3 linked regions of the Callithrix jacchus genome follow. The protein of the gene in region 2 binds, or shares a complex with, the protein of the main gene of each other region. Links are inferred from orthologs where the notes say so. Each region holds a gene or a part of one and is shown on either strand. Other genes may lie near its edges. The genes, in order: INSIG2, SCAP and RNF139.

Region 1 (6,063 bases), on a different chromosome or scaffold from region 2:
CAATCTGTTTCATGTTTTTCTAACTCTGAGCTTCCACCAGAATGCACAGGTTTACCATATCTGCATATTTATCCTCAGTGCCCACTGAAAGACCACATCTTCCATGAAAACTGTCCTCAAATCTGGTCAAAGACAATGGCTCTTTGTATTTCTGCTGGGGGTTTTACATTCTGCCTTGTACTGTGGTAGGAATGACTGCATTGGATGTAGGAATCTTGGGAACTGTTGCTATATGGCTTTTGCTTTTTAGGTTCTGTCGCTACTTGCAATTAATAAATATTTAAGCTAAAGTAAATGCCCTTCTAGGTTAAATTTTCCGTAAGGATTTTCTTGAAGGCAATTTCTAAGTGTCTGAAAAAAGCTCGGTTGGAGTAGGCATGAACTGGACATACAGGACTTGTATTGCTTTAAGGAAATACGTGATGTCAGAACACTGTGAAATTATTCTCTTTTCTGAGTGCTTTCTCTTTTCTTTTAAAAATTATCGTCCATTCTGTATAATTGGCCCAGGTCTTTCTTACTGATAGTGTAAAGTCTTACAGGAGTGAAATTTGAGAGCGATAGAAAACAGCAAAAACACTAAGAGCTATAGTAAACATCAGAGAAGCATCATACAATACTTGCCTAGAAACATTTTGTTGGAAATTGATTCTTTTTCAATTTTCATAAATAAATGTGGCCGAGGCTGGTGGATCACGAGGTCAAGAGATCGAGACCAGCATTGTTGACATGGTGAAACCCCGTCTCTACTAAAAATACAAAAAATTAGCTGGGCATGGTGGCACGTGCCTGTAATCTCAGCTACTCGGGAGGCTGAGGCAGGAGAATTGCCTGAACCCAGGAGGCGGAGGTTGCGGTGAGCCGAGATCGCACCATTGCACTCCAGCCTGGGTAACAAGAGCGAAACTCTGTCTAAAAAAAAAAAAAAAGTACATAAAATGGTCAGAAAAATAAAAATCCATCTTATCGTTTATCAGTTCAAAGTAAATGAAAGGAGACAGTCCTTTGGAAAACTATTATGCATTTACTCTCGGCCCAGATTTCATCTAGAATATTCAAGTCCATTGTAACCTTACCACACCCCAAATGGAATAGCCTGGTAACGTAATACATTCAAGAGAGATTTCTTTTTTCTCTCTTTTTAAAAAAGAGCTGCTTAAAAAAACAAATTCAGAGTACAGAAGCAACTCCTTATGATGAATACCTTTTGGCACTTATAAGGACTTGCTTCTGCAATGATGGCACCACTTTCATAAAAAATACAAGTTCACCTGCACAATTCCAAAGATCTGTTTGGTTTGGTTTCATGTCCTAAAAGTACGGTTTTATACGAAAAACAATACTTCTGACAAGCGGTTAAAGGTTTTAAAATTTTCTCTGTTCGTGTAAACTTCCAAAGCCCTTCCTATGAAAACTGCCCCCCACCCAATCACGTTACTTGGTAGTTCTCGAGAAACGATTTTAAATGAAAAGCGCATAAAGTGTTGCAGCATGGAGATGAGCGACAACCATGCTCTTCTCTCAAAATATGTTATAATTTACTAGGGGAAGAAAAGGAGCAGAGTATAATGCGCGGTGTTCTGTTGGAAGTACTCGGCGGCCTGCTCCGGAGCGCGCCCCTTTAGGCTACGAGATGAGGGTCACGCAGGCGGCCGCGCCTCCCGGGGAGTGTGCGTGTCTCATTGCATGATTTCCTTACTCCGCCCACAGGGTCTGGGCATCCATCGTTACCCACGACTGCCTGGTCAGCAAACAACAGCTGATCCAGCCTCCAGTCACCTCGACTATCCCCGCCCACCGCTAGCAGCCCATTTTCCGCAGACCGGAAGCCCTTTTGCCCCGGCTCGCTGGTCCACCCCTTATTGCCGGCGAGAACCGGAAGCTCCTCTGCCCCGATCGCCTGCGTGTGGCCGCCTTAGCTGCACAAGCGCAGTGGAGCTCGGGCGGAGTTGTGGGAGTGGAGGAGGAAGAGGCCGTTGGGGGTTACGGGGGTTGGTCCCAGAAGATGGCGGAGGCGGGGGTGAGTTGGGGGTCTCCCGGCTAAGCGCGGGTGACGTGGTGCTGAGGGAAACGGCCCGTGGAGAAGGGTGGCTCTCGGGAAGAAGAACTACTTGTGTCTTTGCAGCTTGGGAACCCTGATGGCAGGTGCGGGGAGCCAGGACCACTGATGGGCCTGCAGGGCCATGGGCTCCGTTTACCTGAGAGGAGTCCGCTAGGTCCAGTTGGGGACTGCGGGGTCTGGGAGGGGTCATAGGAGGCGTCGAGGCCCCTCGGACTGTGGATGAGTGTCTGAGCGGGAAGAAGGCTGGAGGACGGCGGGAAGGGTGACCCAGAGGTCTGATGAGGTGGAGGTCAGCGAGCTGTCAAACAGAACTGCCAGGAATGGGAGGCTTGTAGCCTGGTACACGACTCAGGCTTGGGCGGGGGATGGATCCAAAGAAGGTAGATATCATACTAAGTTTAGAATCCACTAAAAAGATAGGGCATTGGGTTGAGGAGTAGGACTCTGGCATTTTGGACTGTAATTGGATACCTTTGGAATAGTTGTTTGGGTAAAGCCAAATAATTCTTGCCAGGGCCTAGAGGTGGATTTGATGATAGTTACTGGATATTAGGGTCGCTCAGTGGAGATTGGCAATATGGAGAAGGAAAGCAGTGTGGATTATGGGGTGGGCGCTGGCAATGGTACTAACACTTAAGTGATATGACCCGTTTCCAGTTAACATTGGAAAAAGTTGTTGAAGTATGATATTAGCTAGGTAGTCTAGGAAAATATACCACGAAGAACTTGCTGTTTTGTAGGATTGATAAAGAAGTGCTTTAAGAAGGAATGGTTAGGCTTGGCAGCTGGGCCGGTGAAACTGTTTGGCATCAGTATTGCCGTGGAGCTGAGGACTGCAGGGGAATGCGTGCTCCAGTCCTGGTGCAGAAAAAATAAAAGCAGCGAAACAATAGCTAGATGGTTCTTTCTAACTTTTGGGTTGGGTCCTGTTAGTGAAGCACTGAATGAAGATGGATGAAGGGAATGCTACTAATGGGGGCTCCAAAGGAAAAAAAAAGCCGTGTGCTCTTCCTGTTTCTCTTTTTCTTTCTTTCCCTGGACTTTGCTCAGTACTGTGGTTTCTCATTGTGTCGTCATAGTTCTCAGTTCATATCTGCTATACAGTGACCAATCAGTGACTCATGTACATTTGGGAAAGAGGTTGATTCTGTTTAACTGACAACTGTTGCTTCTGCGGATGGTCACACGGAAAAGGAAAGGATTAAATGCGGTTCAGTAATTTAAAGAGTTTTCTTTGTTCTCAGAAACTTCTCTCGAAACGATGGAGTAGCTTTTTTAGGCACTGAGATGTGATGTTTAAAAGCTGTAATGCGGTGTAAATGCAGCTAGCTTACTGGTTTCTGTGTTTGGGTTTTCAAGTTGAAAGAGTTGGAGTGTTTATAAGGCAAATAATTTTTTTTCTTCCTAGAAGTTTTTAACGTCCCTAGCCCATGATACATGTAGATGTGTTTTTATTTAGGGAGAATTAAACTGTTCCTTTGATTTAAGTTTGTTTTTTTCTAATGTTAGTGCTTATTCTATTTCAAGAATGCTATTCTAATTGAGAGAGTATATGAAGAAAAAGATGTGAGATAGTAATTTAACTTTATTATTTAGTAGCGTATGTGACCTAAGCACCTGAAGAGACAGGGTTATCTAAGGGAGTAAAAATGCTTCTGTGACTGCTAATCATTGGAAGGAATGGCCTGGTCATTTGGTTTTGGGGGTGTTGCAGTTGTTACAATGCAACAGGTTCTTAAGGTTACTAGAAGATTTTGTGCGTGTGTTTTCAAATGCTTGTTGCTTCTAAGTTGTTTCAGTGGCCAACATGAACTTCAATTTTTATTCACAAAGCCCATAATCACTTGTAAATCTTCTTTTTTAACCTGAAAGTAATACTATCAATCCATTAATAGGCAGCCATACACCTGGCATAATGTTTTTCCAGTATTGATGATTCATCCTTGACCTATGCAAATTATTTGAACTGTTTTTCTTTCTGTTCAGCATTGTACTTTCCAGAAACTTTAGGCCAGAGCTCAAGGTAGAGTTTTTCAAGTCTAGTGAAAAGTTTTTCTTTGTGAATTGTTGAAAACATTATTTTGGTATTAATGGTAGTTTACCAACATTATTTTAAAAATGGTTTCTTGTGTGGCACTTAAATTGTTTTGTACCATGTTTGTGGATGGAAGCAATATGGTGAAGCAGGAAGAACTTGACCTGCTTCAGAGTGGGTGGGCCTAGTCCTGGTGCTACCTGGTGACAGTTCTGTGATCTTAGAAAGTTACTTAACCTATTTGATTTCATAAAATTAGAACTAATAGCACCTGCCTATTTACCAGGATAATTTTTGAGAATCTATTGAGATCTTGTCCTTTAAACAGTATCTTTATACAGAGACTTCCTCCCTGGTCAGCAAATTATTTATCAAGTAATCTAAATTTTTCAAATATAGATTAAAAAAATTTTTGGAGCATCAAGTTTATCATTGATGTAAGACTAATATTTTAAAGATATAGATACATTTTGTTTTAAGAAAATGGTGTCAGTACATAATCAGAAAAACAAACTTCAAAATAAACTTAAAGGAACTTACTTTCCCTTGAAAATAACCCACTCCTCTAGTGTGTCACTGATACTATAAACATGCTTTTAAAGGAATTTCATTGTTGCATGGTAGGGGGTTATATGGTTTTGTGGAAGCCTCTATCCATTTGATGAGTCTGGTCATTTTTGGGCATCACTGTACATGTTTGTGGTGATAAGAACTGATGGTACTGTCTTGATCTTGCTATTCCAGTTGACCACTTTGCATCTCATTGGCCTTAATAGTAGAGTGAGAGAACTGTTAGATTACCGGTTCTTTACTTTTGTTTGGATTATGGACTTTTTTGAGTACCTGATATGAATTGTAGAACCATCCCAGAAAAAGGCACATATACACAACATTTTTGTTTTGTTTTGCATGGTGGTCTCATACCCCTTGGAATAGATGATCTCCCAGTTCCCTGCTATTTCTTAAAGCTTTTATTTTTTGTCCCCAGTAATTATATACTGTTGTATTATGATGTAGTTACAAAATTAGCTTTTTGAATTTCATTCAAATAAACATCAAACAAGTGTGTTATTTTTAAAGAAAACTTTTGGGGTGAAGTAGGAAACTAAACAAGCACTGCCAGGAAAGGTTAAATAAACAGCTGTGGCAGAAAACACAAACAGTTTAGAAAGTCTAGCTGTCTTGAAATAGAATGAAGAAGTCTCTAGCAATCAGTGGCTCTCATTGTGGGGACAATTTTGGTTATCATAAATAGGGGAGGGGGCATTTAGTGGGTGGGGGCCAGGGATGCTAAATGTTTTACAATGCTTAGAACAGTTTCACACAGCAAATAATTGTCCAGCCTAAAATGCCAGTGCCCTTTGACAAATGCTGGTGAGTGTGAGATGGGGGCTAGCATGACTGAAATAGCTTTTTTGAACTGAAGTTATTTTGCTTTTAAAAAATACTGTTAAACATAAAATACCCCTTTCCATTAATTCCCTTTTGGAAAAATCAAAAACATAAAGCAAAACACTGTCTCACTTTGGGTTACTCAGAAACTATGCCCATCTTCTAGTAGCTGTTAGCAGCAGATCAGGGGAATGTGTTGTGTCTATTGGGATTTTGGGAAGTAGATAGTCAACTAATGTTCTCATATAGTGTGTTGGTTTGCTATTTTTTTCTTTTTACTTTAAAACAGTTTTTTACACCTTCATCTAGTACTTTTAAATAAAATGTCAAAGTGTTTGTGCATTTATTCTCATTGTCTTTGTGCACTTATATAGTCACCTACTTGCATTGGCTTAGTACCTTAGAGTGAATTGTAGTTGAGATGGTATTTCAACATCTAACCATCTTTTCAGTAACCAAACATCTGTATATAGATCCCTGTGCCAAACAGAAGTCTGAGCAGTTGAGATGGCGTAGGATTCAAGGCATAGAGGCAAGAGAATGGGTTTTGGAGTCGGTTATACCTGAGATGAAA
Region 2 (5,622 bases):
GTGGGAAGGAGAAAGGAGGGGGAATATAAGGCAGCGGTGGAGTGAGAGGGTTTGGGGTGGCACGGAGGAGGAGAGGGCAGCCGCACCTACCCCGGGCGCGGGATGCGCGTGAGACAGTCCCCGGTCTGCGCGTCCCACACGCAGACGTGGCCCGCCAGGCAACAGCTCACCAGCAGCATGCCGTCGCTGGCCAGGCACTCGATGTCCTATGGGAGTGTGCAGTGTTGGTGCGGGCCAGGGCCTGGCCCTCACCTTCCCCGCCTGCGCCCCCACTCACCATGAGGTGGCCACGCAGCACCAGCGGAACGATCTCTGTCTCGGGCGGTGCGTAGCCATAGTCATCACAGGGCAGCTCCCCACGCCTCCGCCGCCCCGGCCCACCGCCCGGCTGCCCGTAGTTGCGCGGGCACAGCACACGGTAAAGGCAGAGCAGCAACAGCACCAAAACGATGCCCGCAGCCAGGCCCAGTGCCGCCACCCTGCACAGGTGGGCGGACTATTGCGAGATGCACCCCCAAAGCCTATCCCTTCCTCCTCCCTCTCCCTGCTCTTCCCTATCCGTCCCCCTCCCTGCACTCCACCCCACCCCACCCAGCGGGCCTTACTTGTACAGCGTGACGTCTCCGTGGGCCTGTACCCCACCTGGGCCCTTGGGTCCCGCCTCCCAGTGCCCAGCCGGCACAGGCCCCGGCGGGGGCCAGGCATTACGGCCGTCCTGAGGGTGCCGACCCTCCAGGGCCTCCCTCGGGTTCAGGCGGAGCGTGACTGGGATGACAGGTAGCAGGCTAATGTACCTGGGTCCGGACAGTGGGCAGTCTCAGCGGGAGGCCTCCCAGCCAGTCTCCTCCCTCCTCCCCAGGCAGGGCTCAGCTCCAACAGCCAGACTCTCCCAGCATGGGGGTTGGGGACAGAGAGGTCCCTCCCCAGCCCAGCTTAGCAGTCAACCTTGCTGTCCCAGATACCAGCACCCAAGCAGCCCTTGTGGCCATGTGGGCTATCTCCCTCCCAACTCCTGGACAGGTGGGTGGGTCTCATTCTGCCAAGGGCTGGCAGCAACTGGTGACTCCTCAGAGCAACCTGGGACACTCTCAGGTTATGGCTGCCTAGAACACCAGTTCCCACCTCACAACCTTATGAATTATTTAATTATTAGCAGAATTCAAACCTGTGGGTCTCCTGCATCAGAGAACGGGGATGGTGGGCTAACACCATTGAGTGAGGAGGTGGCACCTGGCACAGCCCAGCTCACCTCTTGGCCAGCGTGATGTTGTAATAGCTGAAGAGTGTCGGCCAGTGGCGGAAGGACAATTTCCTCCAAAGTTCCTCATCCTCAGGCCCCCAGGTTACCTCTGGGACTGGGCTGTCATGGACAACCTCTGCCGGACCTCCACGCTCAGGTGGCTCGCCTGGCAACGTCTGGTTCTCAGGTAGCTTAGGGGCATCAGGTGGGAAGATGGAGAAGGCAGGGTCTGGGTGATTGGCAGGCAGCATGCCGCTAGGCACAGGCAGAGGAGCCAGGGCTCCCTCACCCAGTGGGCTCTGTTCCGTCACCTGGGCAGCGAGGTAGGTGCGCAGCCCTGCTGGGTCTGTGTACACCAGGATGCCAATCCAGACAACGGTGCCAGCCTGTAGGGGGGTGAGGGTACTCAGTGGGGCCCCTGGAGGAACGTGCCCTAATCCCCAGCAGCTTCAGCCCTCATGCTAGGAGGAAGGAGCACAGGGACCTGAGGCCTGGGGATGGAGAGAGGGCACAGGCCCATTCCATCCCTTCCTCCTGCCTCTCCAAGTCCTCCTGCCAACACTCGCCACATTTAGGGGCTGAATTTCCTGGCCTGGAAATACACTGAAGCACCCTGAGGTTTGACACAGAATGCCCCCGCCCCAATCTCCACCTCAGCTGGTGCCAGAAAACTACCATTCCTATGGTTAGCAAGGCCACGGCGCCAGCTGCCTGATCTGCTCCAGAGTCCCCAGTCCCAGGGGCCCTCAGCCTTCCTCTCATCTCAGTTCCACTCCCTGGGAGAGGCACTACTGCCCCAGAGCCAGCCCAGCCCGGCTGGTGACAGATTTTGCCCAGCACTTTCCAGCGTCTGCACACGATACAGCAGCTGATGAACCCGACCCAGGGAAATGTGGCCACAGGTGGGTCCATCTCAAAGCACTCGACTAGCAGGCTCCTGTCCTGGGCCACTCTGGGGAGAGGACGGCTCCTGTACCTGTGAGCCCTGGAGCTGCTTCTCCCACAGACAGGCTTGTCTCCTCAGAAGCCACCAGGGTCTGGGCAGGGAGGACACAACAGGCAGCTCCCCAGAGCCAGGCTTCCAGGGGCCACCGGGGCCTGAGGAGCACCCCTTGCCACTCTAAGGCCAAGTGCAGCACCACAAGGGGCCTGGAGCACTAAGAGGGCAACGCAGAGGTGGCAGGTACCATGATGAGGCGCTGTGCCAGACGGGTGCGGGCCAGGAAGTAGACGACACGCAGCCTCTTGGGGAGCCGCAGATTTCGGAAGGAAGATGGCTGCAACGTGATGGTGTGGGGTGTGGATGGCCGCACAGCCAGCTGCCGCTCATAGCGTGTTGGCTGCCCAACTGGCTTGGCTGAGGGCAGGCAGGCCTCAGGGGGCAGCCGCTTGTTCAGGTCTGCTAGCTGTTGGGGACACAGTGGTCAGGGCCTGAGTCCACTGTCCAGAGGCTGCCCTCACAGGACTGCTGCCCTGCCCAAGGTCTACACCCCTGTCACCCAGGGCTCCCTGAGGACAGCCAGGGCTGAGTTGGCGGGCAGGGCAGGGCTCAGCCCACTCCTACCTCCATCCGGCGAATGTCAATGGACAGGACAGTGGTGAAAAAAAGCATCTGAAGGAAGAAGTCAGACACCAGGCCCACCACGGCAAAGAGACAGAACTCCTGGAATCAGAGAACACGGGGGGGGGGGAGGTGGCGGGGGTGCTGTGACCTCACCTCTCCAGTCCTAGAGGAGCAGTGCCCAGACTGCAGCCACCTCAGAACCAGCAGGGCAGCTGATAGGGCACCAGCAGATAGGGCACAGCAGAGAGGAAGAAGAGATACTGGTTGGTCCTCAGCTCACACACCACCAGCAGATCATGCCATCTCCACCAGGGGGCAGCAGAAACCCTCACACTTTTTTCAGAAAGGGCTGAAAGTGGAGGGTACCCTCCCTGAATCTTCCCATCCCCCTAGAGAGGACTGAAGGCCTGATCCAACCTGGAAATCTCTAAGCCCCACCAGCCTGCTCCCCAAAAAAGTCCTGCCCCACTAAGTCTCCACCCTGCTCACGCAACAGCAACCCAGCCAGAGCCCAGGCCTGATTCAGGGGCTCTCAGAAAGGTTCCCAGCCAGCAACTGCCCCAAAGCAATGAGAAGAAAGAGAGAGCCGGGCACGGTGGCTCAAGCCTGTAATCCCAGCACTTTCAGAGGCCGAGGTGGGTGGATCACAAGGTCAAGAGATCAAGACCATCCTGGTCAACATGGTGAAACCCCGTCTCTACTAAAAATACAAAAAATTAGCTGGGCATGGTTGCGCGTGCCTGTAATCCCAGCTACTCAGGAGGCAGGCAGAAGAATTGCCTGAACCCAGGAGGCGGAGGTTGCGGTGAGCTGAGATCGTGCCATTGCACTCCAGCCTGGGTAACAAGAGCGAAACTCCATCTCAAAAAAAAAAAAGAGAGAGATTAATTCTCCTCTAAAACTGAAAAAGGGTGAGCTCTCTGCTCCCCAAGCTGTCAGCAGACAGAATTTTCTGAGATGTCAGTGTTGAGACCTTTAGCACATCACCACAGTGCTACTCAGATCTGGGGTAAGACCATGGGGTGCAGATAGTGGCACAGTGGTGTCTCAGCTCTAACATCCCAAGATTGTGCCTTGTCCTGCAGACACTACTGTTTTTCCAGGAGAAAAAGCCCACAGCCCATCTGTTCTCTGCTCATCCCCATCCCTCAACTAGCCTGCCAGCCCTGGGGGAAGGACAGGGAGAAAAGATGGCATCCTCCCCTTCTCGCAGCTCCTCTTAGAATGGCTGGCATCAGTCTGGGGTTCCAGGTCAGTGTAGGGCCACCTCCACCTCTGCTCACAGCCCACAGCTGAGCAAGGGCACTTTGCCAAGAGCAGGGTCACTCTGGGCAATGGGAATTGGCCCTCTCACAGGTCAGGCCAGGCAAGGCCATGCGTCTGGGGACTGTAGCACCCATCAGGGCCAAGAGAGAAGACCAGAGGAAGGGTCTAGGGACCCCATGGTGCTTCTCCCTCAGAAATGGGAAACACATGTGACTGGAACGGCACAGCCTGTCCCCAGCTTCTGCCATGCCCTTGCAGCCTCCTCCTGCCACTTTGCTGAAGGGGAAGCAGGCAGGGAGGGGTAGGAAGAAAGGGTCAAGGGCAAAGCCTGCCTGGCACTCAATCTTGGAACCCAGCCAGGCTTTGCCAAGCAATTCTGAGCCAGGCATGCCAGGGGCCATCTGTGTGCTGCAGTTATCGGTTTGCCAGGCAAGGATGCCTGTGCTGGAAGACGGGGAGCACGGTGCCCATGGCTGCACAGCTGGGGAGCACAGGAGTTGCTTCCATGCTCATCCAGGTGGCAGGCCTTGGAGCCTTACCTGGATGGCGGGCACTAGGGTGAAGTAGCCAATAAGGATGATGCCCAGTTCCGTGGCCATGTTCTTCATGATGGACCAGCTCTCACTGCTTAGGCCTGCAGAGGGCAGCAACAGAGCACAGGGCAGCACATGGCTGCTGTCTGCAACATGACTCACATGACCTCATGGGCCTCGGAGTGGCAGAGGCATGGGGAGGGCTGCCAGCTGTCTGAAGCAGCCATTCCACCAAAGTACCCCAACCCTCAGGACCCTGCCAATGCCCGGACTCTAAGGTGCTGTCACCACCACACAGCTGCTACAGGGAACAGGGGGGTTCGCAGCTTGGAGTGTGCAGGGGAGAGCTATAACCATCAGAAGATGGAAGCAGCAGAGTGTGGAGACGAGAAAATGAACAAGGAAAGCCAAGTGCACCCCACTCCAACCACATCCCACCTCCGCATGTGGTTCTTGTCTGGTCTATATGGGCCAGTATGACAGTATGCCCACCAGCCACAGGGCAGAAACACTCGAGAGGTGGAAGAGCTGGTTGCGTTCTTCCTTAAGCCCCTTCCTGTGGTGAGCCCTGATCCCATGCTATCACACTGTTGCATGTCTAAGGCTCGGAGCTCCTACTGGGTAAGGACCATTTCGCCCCATCTCTTCCTAACTCCATATCTAGCACAGAGCCTGGCTTATCACAGAGGCTTACAGAGGTTTGCTGGATGAATGGACGACCTGCCTACAGCCTCGTTCCTCACAGACACAGGTGACAAGCAGGAAGAGGCTCAAGTGACCAGACCTCCAAGGCTAGGCTCTCCCTCTTCTCATTTTCCCTAGAACCCCCGATCCTCAGCTTCTACCAGCAGGGCCAGAGGGGGCATTTCTGGCAGCTGTGAAGGCAGCAGATCCAGGGGCTTGGGCCTAGTGCGCTGGAGTGAGGCAGTAAGAGAAAATACTAGATGCTAAACTCCCCAGACAGAAAGCCACCACCAAACACAAGCCCCATCCACAGCGCTGAAGTGGCATGATCACGG
Region 3 (4,432 bases), on a different chromosome or scaffold from region 2:
CACAATCTGTACTGTCATCTTCATTCAATTCCCTGTCAGATTCAGCAGCAGCTTCTCTTACAGGTTCCTCTGGATTTTCATCGGGTGCAATAAATCCATTGTTGTTAGATACATTTGAGTTATCTTTGATATCATCTTCGTTGTATACTTTTTGATGGCACATTGGACAAGTATCTTGAATGTACAGCCATTTCCGAAGGCAAAGTGCATGGAAATAGTGATTACATGGTGTAATACGAGCAGATGTTGTAAACTCATGATAGCAGATTGCACATACATCATCTATTTCTTGTAAGCGCCTCCCTTTTATTTCAGGAAGTGAATTAATTTTCTTCACAGCAGTCCTACGATTCATGAATGTCTTCCAGCCATTTTTGGCTTGTAAGTAGATGTTAAAATATGCATGTAGGCACATCATAAAAGCCCGAATTTTACTTCCTGACTCAAACATCATGGTGTAAGCCCCATTTCCAAACATTACAACTCCAAATATAAATTCAATAATACTTCCTGTTGAACGAACGTAGTAGACATAATCGTCAAGCTTTTCCCAGAGGACATTATAGTAGCCGTCAATCATGAATAATGTATAAACAGTGAGAGAAACGATTACTTTTAAGCACAGTTCCACACAAAATGCTGTAACTGCAAACAACCATGTATTTAGTGCATAGTGATGCCAAAGAACATAACTGAGTATGACAGGAAGAATAAACAGGCAAGCAGAGACAAACAGCACAGGAAAATGTCTACGAAAAGATGACACATGAGAGGCACTGAGAGACATTAATACAGGGTCTGTCATTCCATGTATGAAATGCAGGACTGCAGTTAATAGAAGGCACATGTTTCTACTTAAGCGAATAAGTCTCTCTTCTGGTCTTAGCCCACTTAACCCAGTCTGAAGAGCCAAAATAAAAAATAAAACTGGTGCAACAAAGCCAAGCCGCCTGTCATCTTCCTCAGTTGATCCAATAAAGGCCAATATTCCAAGCCCCAAATAATGGGCTACTGAGGAAATTACAGCACTCATGCCCAGCACAGTTAGTGTAGAATCACATCCACTAATTATAAGATTGCAAATGAGGTCCCAAAAATCATCCCAAGAAATAAAGAAGGTATCAGTTTCATTTGCCATCCTTAAGATGTACATTAACACTGTAGCCTGAGCTGTAACTCTTGTTAGCCAAAACACTCGCAGTATGTCTGGGAAACGAATCCTCTTCCATGTGTCCTCCATCAATAACTGTAATCCATAAATTCGATACATGTGCCTCACTAAAAGATAAACATATCGTGTGGAATAATAAAACCACTTCAGTTTCACTGCCAGGACAAGCACTGTATTTAATGTGAGAATCAAGGAAGAGGTAAACACTAAAGTCTCTCTGATGTGTAATGGTAGCTCTGTGATTAAGCCTATTACAGGAACCAAGAGATCCAAAATGATTAATTGTGAATAGATGGAATGAATCTGGAGTAGTGTAATGTATCCAATTCCAAATGTTAGCTGTAGAACGATAACTGCCATCCATAGCGAGGGACCTTTTCGAGGAAGCAGCTCAATTCCAAAAGCTGATGTGTTGTAGCCACCATAGAAGTCAATGTGCAAAGCAGCATAGTAATTCACCAACACTGAAGTTGCAGCTAACAGAAAGGCTGAGCTGTACATGTAAAACTTGAAAAGTGATCGCTGGGACAAGATCAGAACAATACTGGATACAAATATACCTAAAAGAAAGAAAGGAAAAGTCATTTGAATGAAGTATCTTTAAGAATGTTTTCCCACTAATAGTTATGATATTCTTTCTTTAATTAGGAAATATGAGTATGTTCAGTACATTAAGCCTCAAGCCAATTTTGGTTTAAAGGGCAACGAAGGTTTTGTAAAGTCAGAGTTCAAGAGGACAGACCAAACATACTAAATTATTACTTTTTTTGAGACGGTGTCTTGCTCTGTCGCCAGGCTGGAGTGCAGTGGTGCATCTCGGCTCACTGCAACCTCCACCTCCCAGGTTCAAGCGGTTCTCCTGCCTCAGCCTCCCAAGTAGCTGGGATTACAAGTGCCTGCCACCACACCTGGCTAATTTTTGTATTTTTAGTAGAGATGGGGTTTCACCATGTTGGCTAGGATGGTAAATTCTTTACTTCCTTCCTTTCTTTATAAAATTTCCTTCCTTCCTAATTTCCAGATTATTTCAAGTAACACTGTATATGCCGAAGGCACAAAATTACTAAATTATCTTCAAGATTAATTTGTAAAAGAATATGTCCTTCATCATTTGATAATCATTAAGATAATTTAAAAAATTAAGAGCTAAAAATAACCCAAATGAAAACCATTTGTTCCCATTAAGTTTTTGATTGATTGATTGAGACGGAGTCTTGCTCTGTCACCCAGGTTGGAATGCACTAGCACAATCCCAACTCTCCGCCACCTCTGCCTCCCAGGCTCAAGCAATTCTGCCTCAGCCTCCCAAGTAACTAGGATTACAGGTACCTGCCACCACACCCAGCTAATTTTTGTATTTTTAGTAGAGAAACTACTGGTCTCTAACTCCTGAGCTCAACTGATCCACCCACCTTGGCCTCCCAAAGTGCGAGGATTACAGGCGTGAGCCACCATGCCCAGCCAAGTTTTAGATTTTTGGTTTCAAGCATTCTTTAGGAAATCAAGTTCAAGTTTTATACTTTCACCTAATTCCTCCTTTTCTTCTAGCTAAGTCATACCAGCTCTTATTTTTCCTGCTCTTTAACTCTGAGCATTCTTCAAAGAGTCAAAAAATTCAGGGTTTTTTCCCTCCTACCTAGTTTCTTTCAGACTTACAAACATCCTCCAAGTTCCCTTTTTCCTGTACAATGCTGAATCTGTTTCTTAAAATAGTCCACCCTTTCTATTCTTCACATAACAAAAGTAACACTCGGAAAACCAAGACACGTTTTTAAAAAATGGTAATTCCCCTTCCCCCACTCCATAGACACCATCTTTCTTTTTACTCTAACAGAAATGCATATTTTAAGTAGGATTACAATAAACACGTTATTGTCCAACGTTTCAACAATGGGAATGGCATCTAAATACTCACCTAGTTTCACTCCTACATTACAACTGCAAATCTCCAAAGTTCTAAAACATAACTTGCCTTAAACTAGAATCGGCTTTTCCTTGTGATTTGATATTTCAGTTGAAGGTACCATTATTAACCTCTTAGAGGTACTCTCAACCCAACTCCACACACTCAAACTTTGCCAATTAGTTGCCAAATTCTTCTAACATCTCTATCTCCCTTTTCTGTGACACCAACCAATTAATGTCTCAAAAATAAAAAACAAAAAACCTCATCTTGTCTATGTCCATCTACAAGCCATCACCAAATTGCCTCGGCAGCTCTGAAATTGCTATCAACTAAAACCTACATTCCTGCTCCTGGCATTCGAGTATCCAGTTTGCTTTACAGTAATACTCCTCCTAACACACATACATCAATGCTCCAGACTTATGTTCCCCACATTCCTTTCTCCACTATAGGTACAGTGGCGTTTAGTGTATGATGTAGTGATGACCCCACCAACTTCCTAATCCCTGACTGTTCAAATCCTACCTACCCTGGAAACCCACTGTCTTTGATAGAAACTTCTTTCAGCATACCCACAGAACTTAGTGAAACACCTAACACTCATATGTCACCTGATACTGCAGTCTGTAGTTATCTAAGTATCATCTACCCTATTATACATGTGTCTGCAACAGAAAGCAAGGATCATACCTGTCCATCTATGGATCCTACAATAGTCTGTACAAAATAAGTACAATTAGTATTCATGGGGAAATGTCTGTCACATCCAGTTATTTTTAAAGGCAACTACAAAATATAACCTGCTTGAAAAATAAAATCTATGAAAAAGACAATGAGAAACCATATCCTGGAGTACAGAAAAAGTGACAAACTCCAAATTAAAAATCCGTCTATGGCCAGGTGTGGTGGCTCACACTTGTAATCCCAACACTTTGGGAGGCCGAGGCAGGTGCATCTTGAAGCCAGGAGTTCAAGACCATGTCAACATGATGAAACCCTGTCTCTTCTAAATAAAAATTTGCCAGGCATGAAGGCACACGCCTGTACTCCCAGCTACTCAGGAGACTGTGGCAGGAGAATCCCTTGAACCTGGAAGGAGGAGGTTGCAATGAGCTGAGATGGCACCAACTGCACATCAGTGTGGGTGACAGGGAGACCCTGTCTCAAAATAAATAAATAAATAAATATTAAGCAATAAAATAAAAGTCCATCTATCCACCCTATTTCAGCAGGTAATCAAGACACTGCATATTATTACAGTGGACGCATTTCACAATCCATTGCACATAAAAGCAAGGGTTAGTTCCTCTTTTTTTTTGACACGGAGTCTCGCCCTGTCACTATCTCAGCTCCTT

The links.
Region 1: the proteins of SCAP (region 2) and INSIG2 are in contact, whole or in part, in a cryo-EM structure (PDB 7ETW), measured with the Homo sapiens proteins. The link is inferred for Callithrix jacchus from reciprocal best matches to the Homo sapiens genes SCAP and INSIG2. Residues at the interface, in NP_036367.2 of Homo sapiens: Pro200, Ser206, Val282, Ala283, Glu284, Ile286, Pro287, Thr290, Ile294, Ala297, Tyr298, Phe301, Lys305, Tyr351, Val354, Val355, Glu359, Thr409, Leu410, Val411, Ser638, Tyr639; in NP_001308258.1 of Homo sapiens: Phe41, Val45, Leu48, Leu49, Ile51, Val55, Leu57, Phe58, Pro59, Val62, Ser65, Ile66, Glu104, Trp105, Ser106, Met109, Arg110, Val112, Ala113, Val114, Val116, Gly117, His120, Gln132.
Region 3: SCAP (region 2) and RNF139 share a complex: the UniProt entries of both Homo sapiens proteins name them as parts of the SCAP-SREBP complex. The link is inferred for Callithrix jacchus from reciprocal best matches to the Homo sapiens genes SCAP and RNF139.

What each region holds. Positions count from the first base shown.
Region 1 is NC_133507.1:102,719,725-102,725,787, forward strand, and holds the start of INSIG2 (insulin-induced gene 2 protein), read left to right. Parts: upstream 1-1,931; 5' UTR 1,932-2,020; exon of another isoform or gene 2,021-2,145; intron 2,146-6,063. UniProt on the Homo sapiens protein: Oxysterol-binding protein that mediates feedback control of cholesterol synthesis by controlling both endoplasmic reticulum to Golgi transport of SCAP and degradation of HMGCR.
Region 2 is NC_133516.1:30,067,040-30,072,661, forward strand, and holds part of SCAP (sterol regulatory element-binding protein cleavage-activating protein), read right to left. Parts: intron 4,705-5,622; coding exon 4,610-4,704; intron 2,904-4,609; coding exon 2,805-2,903; intron 2,647-2,804; coding exon 2,428-2,646; intron 1,627-2,427; coding exon 1,250-1,626; intron 795-1,249; coding exon 606-794; intron 480-605; coding exon 278-479; intron 207-277; coding exon 91-206; intron 1-90. UniProt on the Homo sapiens protein: Escort protein required for cholesterol as well as lipid homeostasis.
Region 3 is NC_133517.1:72,901,142-72,905,573, forward strand, and holds part of RNF139 (E3 ubiquitin-protein ligase RNF139), read right to left. Parts: intron 1,732-4,432; coding exon 1-1,731. UniProt on the Homo sapiens protein: E3-ubiquitin ligase; acts as a negative regulator of cell proliferation through mechanisms involving G2/M arrest and cell death.